3 linked regions of the Drosophila melanogaster genome follow. The protein of the gene in region 2 interacts with the protein of the main gene of each other region in a pairwise test. Each region holds a gene or a part of one and is shown on either strand. Other genes may lie near its edges.

The links. The genes of interacting proteins can lie anywhere in the genome.
Region 1: the proteins of CG12766 (region 2) and Spn42Dd interact in a two-hybrid assay, tested with the Drosophila melanogaster proteins (one large-scale study listed by BioGRID).
Region 3: the proteins of CG12766 (region 2) and mRpS35 interact in a two-hybrid assay, tested with the Drosophila melanogaster proteins (one large-scale study listed by BioGRID).

The regions. Positions count from the first base shown.
Region 1 is NT_033778.4:6,881,140-6,885,884, reverse strand, and holds Spn42Dd (serpin 42Dd), read right to left. Parts: upstream 2,606-4,745; 5' UTR 2,556-2,605; coding exon 2,543-2,555; exon of another isoform or gene 2,478-2,542; intron 2,272-2,477; coding exon 1,427-2,271; intron 1,369-1,426; coding exon 1,227-1,368; intron 1,157-1,226; coding exon 1,038-1,156; 3' UTR 1,012-1,037; downstream 1-1,011. Other genes in the region: Spn42Dc (serpin 42Dc), read right to left, coding at 2,772-2,965, 3,035-3,176, 3,247-4,122.
Region 2 is NT_037436.4:3,937,449-3,942,223, forward strand, and holds CG12766 (uncharacterized protein), read right to left. Parts: upstream 2,678-4,775; 5' UTR 2,637-2,677; coding exon 2,559-2,636; intron 2,440-2,558; coding exon 2,272-2,439; intron 2,204-2,271; coding exon 2,031-2,203; intron 1,912-2,030; coding exon 1,767-1,911; intron 1,709-1,766; coding exon 1,511-1,708; intron 1,448-1,510; coding exon 1,247-1,447; 3' UTR 1,176-1,246; downstream 1-1,175. Other genes in the region: CG10866 (uncharacterized protein), read right to left, coding at 5-298; CG10863 (uncharacterized protein), read right to left, coding at 3,665-3,856, 3,924-4,121, 4,178-4,322, 4,416-4,588, 4,655-4,775.
Region 3 is NT_037436.4:2,778,498-2,783,116, forward strand, and holds mRpS35 (mitochondrial ribosomal protein S35), read left to right. Parts: upstream 1-2,401; 5' UTR 2,402-2,515; coding exon 2,516-2,633; intron 2,634-2,696; coding exon 2,697-3,559; 3' UTR 3,560-3,608; downstream 3,609-4,619. Other genes in the region: Atg2 (Autophagy-related 2), read left to right, coding at 1-1,916; Pgant6 (polypeptide N-Acetylgalactosaminyltransferase 6), read left to right, coding at 4,404-4,619.

The DNA.
Region 1 (4,745 bases), on a different chromosome or scaffold from region 2:
TATGTTAAGAGAGAGCACTGTGTTTCTGGTTCTCTTTACTTGGCAATCATTCTCTTCCGAAAAGGCTCTCTTAATTTTGCAGATGTTGACAAGCAATTATGTCATTTTGTTTACAAATAGAAATACTCCTCTCTCCGGAAATCACATCGAAAGTGAAAAAATTAATTTCTAAGTATGTATACTAGATCAGCAAGTACATACATATATGTGTGTATGTACAGTTACCTTAATTATCTGTAGAGGATTTGATTGTAGTTAAGTTCGTGGAGCGCTGATTTCAATGGCTACAAAAACCGTCCACGTATTAAAAGTTCTGCCTCGAACTGAAGACTGATTTTCTTTCTGGCCCTACAACGGCACACTGTGGGGAAATTAATTTCTGTTTCCCAAGAGATTTTAAGTCCATCGCTAGCATGTGAATGTCTTTTTACTTTTTTTTTACGTTAGTATCGGCTTAAAAATATCAATTTTGTTTATTAAAAACTGGAGAGACCGCCGTAGTCGAGTAGCTCGAATATCACATACATACCACTTCCAATTTGCAGGTACGCGAGGGACTCGAGAAAGGCTTTTCACTTGTTTTTTATCTGTGGTATTTAGACATAATACGTTTAGGAACCGAGAATAGTGTTTTAAATTGCCTTTTTAACGACTTTTATCGAATGCTTCTAGGTTCATTGGTGGTGGATGTTTAACTTTTTAGTGTTTTTTCTCCGCTAAACTAGTCGTTTTTTTTTAATATATAATAATAATAAAATCGCTCGGTTCACCAGGACACTTAAAATACATGGCGTATTTAAATGAGTTAAAATTAACATATTTGAAACTTTTCCGAACGAAGAATCAGAAATCATTACACTTTTTATTTTTGGCAAAATACCACTTCTACTCCCTATTACCAACCTACTGGACAACCTACCTTCGCTGCGTTACCCTTCCGTCACAACGTGGACTGCTGTCCACATTGATCCTTAACTTAAAATGTAATCACTCCGCTTGGAATTTTAATTTAAAATTTAAATATTGTTTTTATTTATTCAAGGGCTTACAACACGCCCCTGGAAATATATGGTGTTCGCATCGCGAATGACGAAGGCAAAGGGATGATCGGCCATGAGGAACGTAGAAAATCCCGCTCGATTTGTGACGGCCACAGCTGGGAATCATTGGGAACAGTGAGTATATAGGAGTCAACATTCGACGCTGATAACCAAATCGGTACTTACATGTGGCACCTGCGGCCTCCGCTCCCTCCTCGTTCACCTCCAGAAACGCCTTGTGCGAGACCTGACTGACTTTGCCGCCTGACTTATCGGCGAACAAGCCGCTTAAGTCTGACTTGTCGGTGAATAGCTCTCGGATGCCCAGCTTAAATAGAATCGAGCGTCAAAGTGGCACAACCGTGTTTTTCTTGACGGAGTCTTACCTTCTCTAAGGTCTCTTTGAGTTCATCACGAAATTCGATTTTAAACTTGGGCAGCTTAAGATAGACCTCCTTGGCAACCAGCGGCCTGGCGAAGCCAACGATCTTCTCTTCCAGGGCGCTCAAGCCCTCCACTTCTCGGGGCAGAAAGATAGTCATGGACAGGTTGGAGTTAAGGTACGGCAGCTCGATGACTTGGGCATCTAGATCGCGGAAGTAGTTAGCCCTGAATGTTCCCATTTGCGCCATCATCTGGACGGGCACACTCTTGTTCGCAGTTACTTGGAAGGTGGAGGCTCTGGTCTTAGCTGGGTCAAACTTCGACTCCCACTGGCCCTTAAAGTAGATGGCGTTCACCAGCAAGGCCTTCACGTCGGACGTCATGCTGCCGGGATCGATCATGCCCTTGATTTTACCACTGGTCTGATCCAGCACCCACTGGTTGATTCTCTCGGCCGCCACAGGGCCATTGGTCAGACTAATGGACTCCGCCTCGGACTTGAAGGGTTCCCTCACAGCGAGGTTGTAGTTCTGATTCAGGCTGTACTGGTCGTTGACGTAGATGCGATTCGCGAGCTTTAGTATGGGTCCCTCCTCCTGTCCCTGAAGATCGTTGAGGAGAGCACCGTACCTGGCTGCCACCGCCTCTTTGTCCTCCGATGGTAAACCTAAGGCGCTCTGCAGCTCCTTGGCCGTCGAGCCTTCTGCGCCCATGAAGACCATGCTAAGGATGGTCTCTATGGAGACGGGCGAGACGACGAGGTTCTGGTTTGTATGGCTCTTGGAAAGTAGTTGGTAGATCTCTTTGGAGGTCTGACATGCCACTGAAGTGACCCACAGGAAAATGCCTAGTTTGGGGATGTTAATTATCAATTCGTTTTCAGCGTTCGGAAATTCTGTTCATGCATATTAAACTTGATATTTTTTACTTTTACAGACTAAAGCAAATCGAATTCAACGAAAGCGGATAGTCTTTGTAAGTTAAAAGTTAATGCCATAGCAAACGTCTTCACCATATTGTTTTATTATTTTCTATGAATTTAATTTAAATCATAAGTTATTATAGGTAATTTATTGCTTTGTATTTTAATTCACTGGCTATAAGCGATCGCCACTTACACAAGTAATACATTTGACCGTCTACAACGAACTCTTCCCCGAGATAAGTATCTCTGTAAACTGAGCGCCGAGTGCCAAGACGAGCTCATATATGCACTGGACATATATGTACCTACTGGCGATACTTCATTACGTTACTGAGAACTGCGCACACAGCTCTCTCGGATTGAAATCCAATGACGTCTAGTGGGATTTCATAGCTGAGTTCTATTCGGTCTCACTGCTGTTCTTAGACATTGTACATGTTGGCATCGAAACCTTCCCGTGACAAGCCCTCCTCTCCTGATCCAGATCCAGACTTGGGGTTCGAGAATCGGCCGGCGAAGAAGACGGCCTGCGGGTTTCGTATGTAAAAGACGAACGGGTGATCCGCCTTGAAGAGCTTCTTGTTCATGTTGAGCATCATGGGTACTATCTTCATGACTGAGTGTGGGAATCAGAGTTGAGATTAGTACGAGCAAGTTTGAGTTGCAAGCAGCTGATTTCACTTACAACTGACTGCTGCTGCCTCCGATCCTGCCTCATTTACGTCGATGTAGCCGCGGTGCCTTGCTGCCGAGATTTTTTGGCCACTTTGCGAGGTAAAGAGCCCGTCTAGCTTGGCCTTATCGCTGAAGACTTCCGTAATACCCAGCTGAGAATAAATATCAGATATTACATTGTTATTAAAACAAAGCCACTATTATCGGTTAAATGTATCTTACCTGATTAAGTACCTGCTTGAGGTCCACGTCGTACTCTATGCACATCCTGGGCAGAAAGATCTCGACATCCTGCAAGGTCAGCGCTGCGTCAATATCGGCTAGATCCACGGTGTTGAGTTGCTGCTCTAACTCCTGCAGACCGTTTACTTCGTTGGGCAGCAGAATTAGCATGTGAATGTTTGAGTAATCATAGGGCAGTTGCACAGCTCGAGCCTTCAGCTGTGGCAGTTCTGCGAACCGGAACTTGTCCTCTTGGTACATCATATTCACCTGCACGTGAGTGTCCCGGTCCACGTGGAAATGGTCAATCGATGTGGTCTCTGGCATAAATGGTTTCTGCCACTTTCCCTTAAAGTACAAGACATTGATGAGCAGGGCGCTCGTTTCGTTGTTCACGGCATCCGATTGAAGCAGGTTGGTGATCTTATGCTCCGTCTCCTGTTCCACCCAGTCGTTGATCAGCTGCGTAGCTCCCTCCGAATCGGCGAACCTCGTCGCCTCGGCCTTCGACTGGAAGAAGTCCACGGCGATCTCGTTGAACTCGGTAAGCAGTTCCAAGGAATCGTTGACGTACAATCGGTTCACGGACTTCAACACGGGTCCCCTGTCGCCGTAGTTACAGCTCGTGCGCCAGAACTCTCCGAAGTTTAGGGCTATGTGATGGCGATCTCCTGGTCCTAGCTGAAGCCCATTCCTTAGCTCCTCTGCTGTAGATCCGGAAGCCCCCATAAATGCCAAGGTCAATGCACTTTGGACGGATGCTGGAGAGAAAACCGTATTTATGTGGGGGTCTTTGCTCTGTTGCAGGGCATCTTTGGTAATGACATCTATCAGATTTCGCGCAAACTGATTTCTGCCTTCTTGGGGTTCGCTCATCTCGATCTGGGCAAAAAAATATATGTTTTAATTTATATTTTTAAATACTTAAATGTAACATAAGTATACAAAAATAAGACATTTTCGGGCCAAATCTCATTATCTCATTTGGCATTATCGCCAGCTGTTAAGCGCCAACTTGATCAATCCAGAACAATTTCGAATTCGGATTCAATCTTTAATAAAATAAAACATTTTCAAAATTGCCTATGCTAATTAAAAATAAATCCGAAATCCCAGAATGACGTATTAGCTTACAACTGCTACTAGGTGCTACTATTTATTTTAAAATAATAATAATAATTCCCTATTATATTTTTAATAGAACCGATGTAGAAAGTAAAGTGAAGTCAACTAGAACTTGCTTTCGTCATAACAAATTGCCTTATAGCAAACGACGCGATAGTAATTCAAAGATAAAATAACACACGTCACCTGATAAGGTTGTTGATGTTTTCAGATATTTAAAATTTAACAATACCCTCTACTGCATAGAGGGGATTACTGCATATTTAGATTACCGTAACTTAGCCTACTAAGTAAGTTTCGGAATTTCTTTAATTTACAAATCATCGATCAATGTGGACATGAAACAATAAATTTCTCTACGTGCACTGATAAGC
Region 2 (4,775 bases):
TCACCTCCAAATAAAGGGAACGAGCCTCCACAAAGTGGTCCAAGTCAATGAACGATGACACAACGAAGCAGGTGAAAATCAATATCCAGCCGAACAACTGCGAGGTGCGCTCGTAGAATTGTGTGGCGAACGTGATTCCCGTGAGTGCTCCAATGGCCGCATGGGTGGCATTGTCGGCCAGGGCCTTCAGCAATGGATGCTGGGTCAGCTCCACAAAGTTGTCCCCCAGCAGACACGTAATGGTCACCAAGGTTGTTAGCACAATTCGCATATAGACCATTGTGTGGCAGTGGGGCATCGATTTCTGGGAGAGTCTGCTCTACTTTTCCGGCTGGCTACGCTCTGGTTTTCGGCAATTGGACGGATTTACTTGCTTCCGCTGTGTGCACTTACTCCTCCTGCTGTTGCTGCTCCACGTAATCTTCGCTGCTGTAATGTCCACGTACTGCTGGCATCTTGTTTACCTGCAATTCGTCGTGTTCCCGGCGATTTGCAAGGATATTTGTTATGGATGTGCGCACATAAAAATATCACACAATATTTGGAAGAGTAAATAAATACTTATCGATATTGTTCGGCAACCGCTCTATCGATATTTCTTACAGCCAGCAAATATACTGTAATGCGTTACAAAATACCGCGAGATTGAAATTTAAAATATTCGCTGTAACATTTTTCTATTCATGACATTGATCATTTCAATTTTATTTTAAATGCAGCAGAGAAAAAGCTTTTAATGTTATTTACATTGGTAGATTTTAATACAAACATATTATTTCCTATTTTCACAGCTAGCTGGGTAAAACAATCGACTTCTTATATTTTTCTTATCGAGAACTTGACTTTCATAATGGATCCGCTACCCTATTTTCTATTATCTGTTCTATTGTGCATTATGATACGGGTACAACTTCGATTTAAATACAATCAAAAATAAAAGTTTTCACTTTTGTTGTAAAAGTATATCAGTTTTTAAATTTTTGCATTAAGAAATATATACATTCTCTAAGAAAAAACTGAATGACTGGAACAAAAAAGTGCCGCGCTGTTTGATTTATTAACCAATCCATGTGAATATCAATGGGAAGTACTTGTGATGATAAGGCCAAAAAAGACATATACAAAACACTTACGAAAAATACTTACCGATTGTAAATGACGTTAGAAATCTTCTTGCTTTTGGGCATTCCCTTACAAGGGTTACTATTTATTTATTAATCATAATAACTTAAATATATTTGTTGTATCAAAAACAAGCACTATACACGTTGAAGGGATAGTATTTACTCTTGATGGCTTGTCGGGCATGGGCAACACGTTCTCCATTGTGATACGAGTCCAAGATGGCATGATCTTCAGCATCCAGCTTGAAATCGAAGACATTGAAGTTCTCCTCAATGCGCTTGGGATTGGAGGACTTGGGCAGCGGGATGGTTCCCAGCTCAATCTGAAATTAGAATTCATCATGAGAAATCCGGTTCAACATAAGGCCTAAATCGAAAATCCTTACCACATATCGGATCACCACTTGGGCAATGGACTTATTGTACTTGTCTGCGATGGCCTGAACCTTGCCATCGTACATAAAGGTGGGCGTCCTCAACTCGGCATTGTGCCTGCCCAGTGGACTGAAGGCGGTCACCAGGATTCCATTCTTCTTGCACAGGGCAATCAGTTTCTTCTGATCCAACGCGGGGTGTACCTCAATCTGCAGAAAGAACAATATGAGTTGAGAAACTGGAGGGAACATCCTGTGACTAAGTTACTTGATTGTGGATTGGCTTGATCTTGCAGTTGGCCAACAGGCGCGTCAGTTGCTCCTCGTTGAAATTGGACACTCCGATGCTCTTGGTCAGGCCCAGGTCAACCAACTTCTCCATGGCGCCCCAAGTGTCCAGGTAATCAATGTCTCTGTAGTTTGAAGCAAGTAAACGGCATAGTAAGATTACTGATAATAGAAGGCGCATTTCACAATCACTTGTAAGTGCCAATCGATTCGAAATATTTCATATATTATTCATTTTACTCACACAAGTTCCACCTCTCCATTGGCATCTTTGGGAATCAGTTCGTTATCACCGCGATATTTATAGGAGAAAGGCCAGTGAATCAGATAGAGGTCAACATAATCCAGGCCAATATTCTTCAAGGTCTTTCGGCAGGCATACTCCACCCTTTCCGGTTCATGGAAATTGCACCAGAGCTGCGGAAATATGTGGCCACTTAAGGATTAGTTTATGATATGCCTGCTATAAGAACTTGCCAACTGACCTTGGTGGTGATGAATATGTCCTCCCGCTTGATGACGCCTTCGGCAATCTTCTTCCGAACCGCCGCACCCACTTCGGCCTCATTTCCGTAGAAGTAGGCGGTGTCTATGTGCCGGTAGCCCACATCAATCGCGTGGAGAACTGCCCGTTCGCAATCGCCTTCCGTCGACTGAAATCACAAGTCATCAATAACGTTAGCGGTTCTTCAAATGACGTTAACCCGGCTACTGATAGGCGACATTCCTGATCCGTATCGGATATGCTATGATCAACCAGTCAATGTCATACCGCGAAGGTGCCCAGTCCGATTCCCTGGATATGGGTTCCGTCGTTGTGCTTGAAGTAGTACTCCACTTTCCCGGTCATCTTCGCGGTTACAAAGTTGAACACTGAATGCTTGGGTTGCTCGCTTCACCTCTGTTATAAGGTTTTCGAATGGGCCCATAGAACCTTCAAAAGACCTTTTGCATTTGCAGATAAAACACGGCCAAGCTGGCAGAGAAACTTGGAAATAGTTTATAGAGACGCAAGGAGCGTAGGTTCTAAGTGTGCTAACCAATATATTAAATGCATTATTTTAATGTTTTAATAAGGATAAATTAAACACATATTTTTTATAAATGATCCAAACCAAATCATGTGTAAAATCCCATTTAAAAATATGTGGGAACACTTTTGAAAAACACTTATCGATAGCTTGATAGTTGAGTGGCGCGCAAAGCTGATTCGGTTAACTTTATCGCTAGTTTTGTTTATTTACCTATTACATGTGGGTTTGTTTATATTCTCTTCCCTTTTATAGCTTTTCATTTTTGCAATCTGCCTTGCAGTTGTGAATAATTGAATTCAGACAAGTGTTGGCGAAATTGTACTAGACCAAATGATTTTGATTAAGTGGAATTTTCCATGCCAAGCCCACACTAAAAACTAAATGATCGAGCAAAAGCTCTCTCTCAAATCATTAAATGTTCAGCAGTGGTGTCCAAAAAAGGGTATTGTTTAATTAAGATTATATGTATATAATCACAAAATGAATTCGTATTGTTTTCATAGATGACTTCAAATGTTTATTATATTTTATGCCCCTTTAAAATATTTGCCACACCCTTGACTGCAAATAAGAAACAGTTCAAGTGATAAGACTAAAATAGAAGAATTACGTACTATCAAAATGCTTAAAAGTAAAACTAATGCGATATTATGTAAAAAAAAAAAAATAAGTGTGCTTGTTATATAAAAATCTCCAAAATAAACATAAATATTTCAACATGAAAAAAGATCTCAAAAATAATTATTATTGGTGTTTATTTTTAAAAAACATATGTATATGTACACAAAATATCAGATTTAACAACCACTTTAATTAATATCAAACATTGCTCCTGCTTTCCAGCTCAAAACTCGATGTTAAATGGATAGTTCTTGCTTTTGATGGCGTGGGTCATGGGAATCAGACGTTCTCCGGTGTTGTAGGAATCCAGAATGGCATGATCCTCAGCATCCAGCTGGAAGTCGAAGATCTGGAAGTTCTCCTCGATGCGCTTGGGATTTGAGGACTTTGGCAATGGGATGGTTCCAATCTCAATCTATTTCGATAAACATTATGTTAATAAAGAGTTTTTGTTCTCATTAAACCTAGTTCGTAATCCCTACCAGATATCGGAGCACCACTTGGGCGGTGGACTTCTTGTACTTGTCTCCAATTGCCTGCACCTTGGCATCATAGATGTAGTTGGGCGTCTTTTCTGCTGGATTGGGTCTGCCCAGGGGACAGTAGGCGGTCACTACAATGTCATTCTTCTTGCACAGAGCAATCAATTTCTTCTGGTTCAACGCGGGATGACATTCGATCTGGAAAATGGTCTATTAGGAATATGAAACCCAAGGCATAACCACAATTGACGCACCTGATTGTGGATTGGCTTGATCTTGCAGTTGGCCAGCAAGCGAGTCAACTGTTCCGAGTTGAAATTGGATACGCCGATGCTCTTGGTCAGGCCCAGTTCCACGAGCTTCTCCATTTCGCGCCAGGTGTCTAGGTAATCGATATCGCTGTAATAGCACAAATTTGGTCATTAAGAGTCAAGCAAATACAAACGAAGCACACCCGCATTAGAAAAGTAATTGACTAAATTAAAAACTCACTTGAGTTCCACCTCCCCCTTGGCATCGGTGGGCATCATCTCGTTGTCGCCGCGGTAGACGTAGGAGTAGGGCCAGTGCATCAGGTAGAGATCCACGTACTGCAGACCAAAGTTCTGCAGAGTCTTGCGGCACGCATATTCCACCCTCTTCGGCTCATGGAAGTGGCACCATAACTGGGGAGTATAGATTTCCATTTCAGGATGTTGGGCATTTCATAATTGACTAATCACAGAACTCACCTTGGTGGTGATGTGGATGTCCTCCCGCTTGATAACGCCCTCGGCAATCTTTCGCTGGACAGCTGCACCCACCTCATTCTCGTTCTCGTAGAAATAGGCGGTGTCTATGTGCCGGTAGCCC
Region 3 (4,619 bases), 1.2 Mb from region 2:
TCATCGGAGACATCCTGGACTTTGAATCGAATGTGATCTTGCAGTCCTACTACCACCAGAGCCAAGTGCAACCGCAGACATCACTGGGCTCCCAGGTGCAGCAGGAGCTGGGTTCCCTGGGCAACGCGTCCCTGGAGGAGCGGGATTTCGACATCATACACGACGAGGAGATTTCACGCATGGACAAGTTCGGTGTCAAGCAAATTTACATCTCCGAGGACCCTTTGCAGATTGTGGACAATCACTTTGAGCTGCCGCATGAGAAAGTGGACCTGCTTAGGCCTCCATCTAATTTCCCAGTGGCCGAGAGCACTTACACCCTTTGCGAGATGACATTCACATGGCACCTTTATGGCGGCCGGGATTTCCCCGATGAACCACTCAAGAAATCCTCTTCGTCGGCAACCAGTGGCTTTGGCATGTCCGATACCTACAAGTATGGCGTGTCTCAAGCTCAAGAGCAGGATAAACAGGACAAAAAGGGTTCCAAGAAGGGTCTGCTCAAACAACCCAAAGGATCGCAGCGCAATCTGGAGGTTCTAGTGGAGATGCAGCTCTCCAAGATTCGATTCTCCTACGAAACCTATCCGTTGACCTCCATGTACTCGTCCCGTCAGGTGCTCCTTGTGTCGGAAATTGAAATAAGAGATAGGTTGCGCTCCTCGGACATTAACAAGTTTCTGTACCATCCGACGGGCAACAATTTATCCCATAAGCCGGACGAGAACATGGTCATAGTGAAGGCTCTGAATGTGCGTCCGAATCCGCAAAAGAGCTCCGCGGAAGAGTGCTCCCTGAGGGTCTCCATTTTGCCCATAAAACTCAACATTGACCAGGATACTCTGCTCTTTCTCGAGGACTTCTTTTCGGGCATGTTCCGAAACTCCGCTAGTGCTGCTGGTGGCACCAAAACGGAGGGCAGCAGTTCGTCGGCCACGGATATGCCGGTGATGTCGGTGAGCAAAATGCCGGAGGAGTTATCCGATAAATTGCCCGATTCGGAAGTTAAGGAGATGGTGGAGAGGAACCTGAATGTGCTGATTGAAGAGAACAGCTTGGATGTGGAGTTGGAGGAGGATCCTGCCACGGCTCCACCTGTGTTCTTCCGCGAGGTGATCTTCAGTCCAGCACTACCCATTTGCTTTGACTATCATGGACGGCGGATTGAACTCTCCCGCGGACCGGTCACCGGCCTAATCATGGGTCTTGCCCAGCTGCAGGGATCCGGAATTAATTTGAGGGAAATTGTGAACCGCAGAGGCATTCTGGGATGGAACAAACTGTGCGAGTTCCTGGCCAAGGAGTGGCTGAAGGACATCAAGCGGAATCAATTGCCCAATATCCTAAGCGGGATTGGACCCACGAATGCGGTGCTGCAGCTTTTCCAGGGTATCTACGATCTTTTCCGGCTGCCCATCGAGCAGTACAACAAGGATGGACGAATTATCAGGGGATTCCAGTTGGGTGCCCAGAGTTTCACCGCTCGCACAGCGCTGGCTGCCTTGGAGATCACCTCCAGGATTATACACCTGCTGCAATTCACGGCGGAGACTACCTTCGATATGCTATCTGCAGGTCCTTCCATGAAGAAGCGGAAGGGCGGCAGGCAGGGCAAACGGAGGCGACAGGGACGACCCAAGGACCTGCGCGAGGGCGTGGCCAACGCCTATACCATAGTGAGAGAGGGCATCAACGAATCGGCCAACACACTCATCGAAGCCGCCATCACGGAGCACGACCAGAAGGGCTACAGCGGAGCGGTGGGCGCGGTGGTACGCCAGATCCCTCAGCTGGTCGTCTGCCCGGCGGTGCTGGCCACCCAGGCCACCACCAACATCCTGGGCGGCGCCAAGAGCTCGCTGATTCCGGAGGCCAAACTGGAGGCGCGCGACAAGTGGAAGCAGGAGATCCACTAGGCAACTGCTTCACAGATCGACTAGGTTAACGGTAGCTATAGTTCACGGGGCTTACAGCATAACGCAATGTTTTCTATTGTTTTACTAATAATAAATAATGTACATAAAAGGAGCACTTGCACGAGACGGCGAGGTGACGAGGGATTTGGGATCCCGAACGGTGATTCCGACATGGGTGTGATTGAACTTATCCTTTTTAGCCATATTACAGTACATGAGAGTTATATTTTTTATTATTTTACCTGAATAAATATATATATATATAAAAGAAAAAGATGACGTATTTCTTCATGGTGCTGCTAAAAGTTTAAGAACGGATACTATTCTAGCAAAATTTAACCGAACTACCAGAATTTATTAAACCCTCAGCTAAAAATGAAGTACAAATAAAAACAACTAGCAGTTTACAAAATGATTTAAAAAGACGTTACTTTTATTTGTATGCTTCTCTGTGAATGGCAAGTTTCTGTAAACAGCTGATTGCTTGCTATTCGGCGCGAATGAATGTTCGTTGGCGCATGGTTTACGTAAAAGCCGCATAAATCGCTGGAAATATTAGTTAAAATTAGGTATCTAAGCTTAAAATTAAACATAAAACCATGTCCAGTGCGCTGACTCGCCTGTTGGAGCGCCTGCCACTGAAAAAACAGACGGCGCAAAGCGGTATTCGTGTTTTTTCCAACCAGGAGCAGCGGCAAGAAATTGAGGATGATGAAGGTAAACAATTAAGTTTCCCTGGCTTACACGTTTTATAATGGATATATCTTCCTGATCGGCCAGAATTCCGAGTGCTCAGCCTGCGGACGGTGAAGCAGCAGATGCAGAAGCGCCAGCAGGTCCGTCGGGATCCCATCACACCGCCGCGCACTGGCCGCATGGCGGTGGATCAGGACTGGACGGCCGTTTGGCCAGGACCACGTTCGTTCCACCCGGCCAGTGTGCCTCTGCCACTGCGGCAGGGATTCACGGAACGCGGAGCAGCAGCTCCGTCGAAGTTCGCCAATGCAGAGCTGATGAAGATACCCAACTTTCTGCACTTGACACCGCCGGCCATCCGTCAGCAATGCGAAGCCATCAAGAAGTTCTGCACGCCATGGCCAAAGGGTCTGGAGACAGAGGCCAAGTGGCAGCGCCACTTCCCCCTGGAGGTCACCACCACAGACTACTGCCAGAGTTTGCCCACGATCAGGAATCCGGAGGCCAGGCGCGTCACCATTACCCTGAAGCTCTCTGACCTGAAGTTCGATGCGCACGCCAGGGATAAGTTCCTGCGCCTGGTGGGCGATCGCTACAACAAGGACACGGACCTCGTTACCTTCGTCACGGATCGCTGTCCGCAGAAGAAGCAGAACTACGACTACGCCCTGTATCTGCTCACCGCTTGCTATCACGAATCCTTTGTCACCGAGCCGTGGGAGGCCACCAAATCGGAGGCCGACATGGAGGTCTATCTGTTCGAGCGTAACCAGTCGAAGGTCTCCGCCGAGGGAATCCTCAACTGGAACGCCAAGAAGGGTGCTCCAAAAGTGGTTCCCAGCAAGTCATTCGCTGAATGCGTGGAGAAACTGATAAACGAAGGCGAAAACGAGTACAACTTGGGCAAATACAAGGAGGAGGTCAAGAAGATGTTGAACATTGCCTAGGAAACTGGATAGTTGAGTGAACCAATAAAGCGAGAAGTTGTTAAAAAATAATCATAACAAGTATTTGAATGTTACAATATTTATCTTGTTAATAATTTTGAATTGAAACTGGGCAACCATGTAATCCCCCTTTACGACGCCCCTCCTTCGTTGTGAATGTCCGAACAGCTGTTTACAATGAAGGCGTGCCCGTGTGAATGGCATTAGAACAGCGCCAAGAACAGAACCAAAAAAACCGAATTTCCGCGGACGTGGAAGCAAACTTTTGTTTTGCTATGCTAATTAGTATTTTAGTAGTTAATAAGTTTATTCAACCCCGTTTGGATGGAGCTTTGAGTAGAATACAGTCGTAGAGAGGTGAGAACAAACTCCTGATAAGAATTCACCTGCTGATGACGTTTCACCTGATTAAAATTATAAAATCCGGAATTATAAACAAAGTTAGTCGCTGAAGTGTTTCTAAGTTATAGTACATTCATTGACATATGTCTGCGATAAGGTAACTATCCAGCGGATGTTCCTTCAGCGCAGTTAAATATCATTTCTATTATCTTAACTTTCGTATTGGTGAAAATGACTCGCCGCTTATCTTGTATTTTTTGTATGTGCGACCCAAAAAGATACATATGTGCTTACGTTTCTGAATTTTTCTACTTTTCTACTATTCTCTTTCACCCACAGACCACGTTGCAGTGCCGCCAGATAAAGAGACAAGCCAGCAAACATCCGCAGCACCTGAGCTAACAAACCAATATCACCATTACCGCGAGATATACTTCACCGACATTAATGGTTGACGTAGAGACCCGTAGAGCGCACACGTAGCCACGGATATCCGGCAAAGATGCGGCGACCCAATCTCAAGTGGATAGTGAAGGCCTCGCTGCTCTTGTTGATCTCACTGACTCTCTTCGTACTGATAACCAGCTGGATCTCATCTACTCCGTACACCAACAAGCCAGTCCATCATGGCGTGGAGCCCGTGCCCGAAAAGGCTGGCCTTTCCGGCGATGTCAAGGTGAAGGTGCCAGCTATAAAGCAACCAGAACCTCAGAAACCA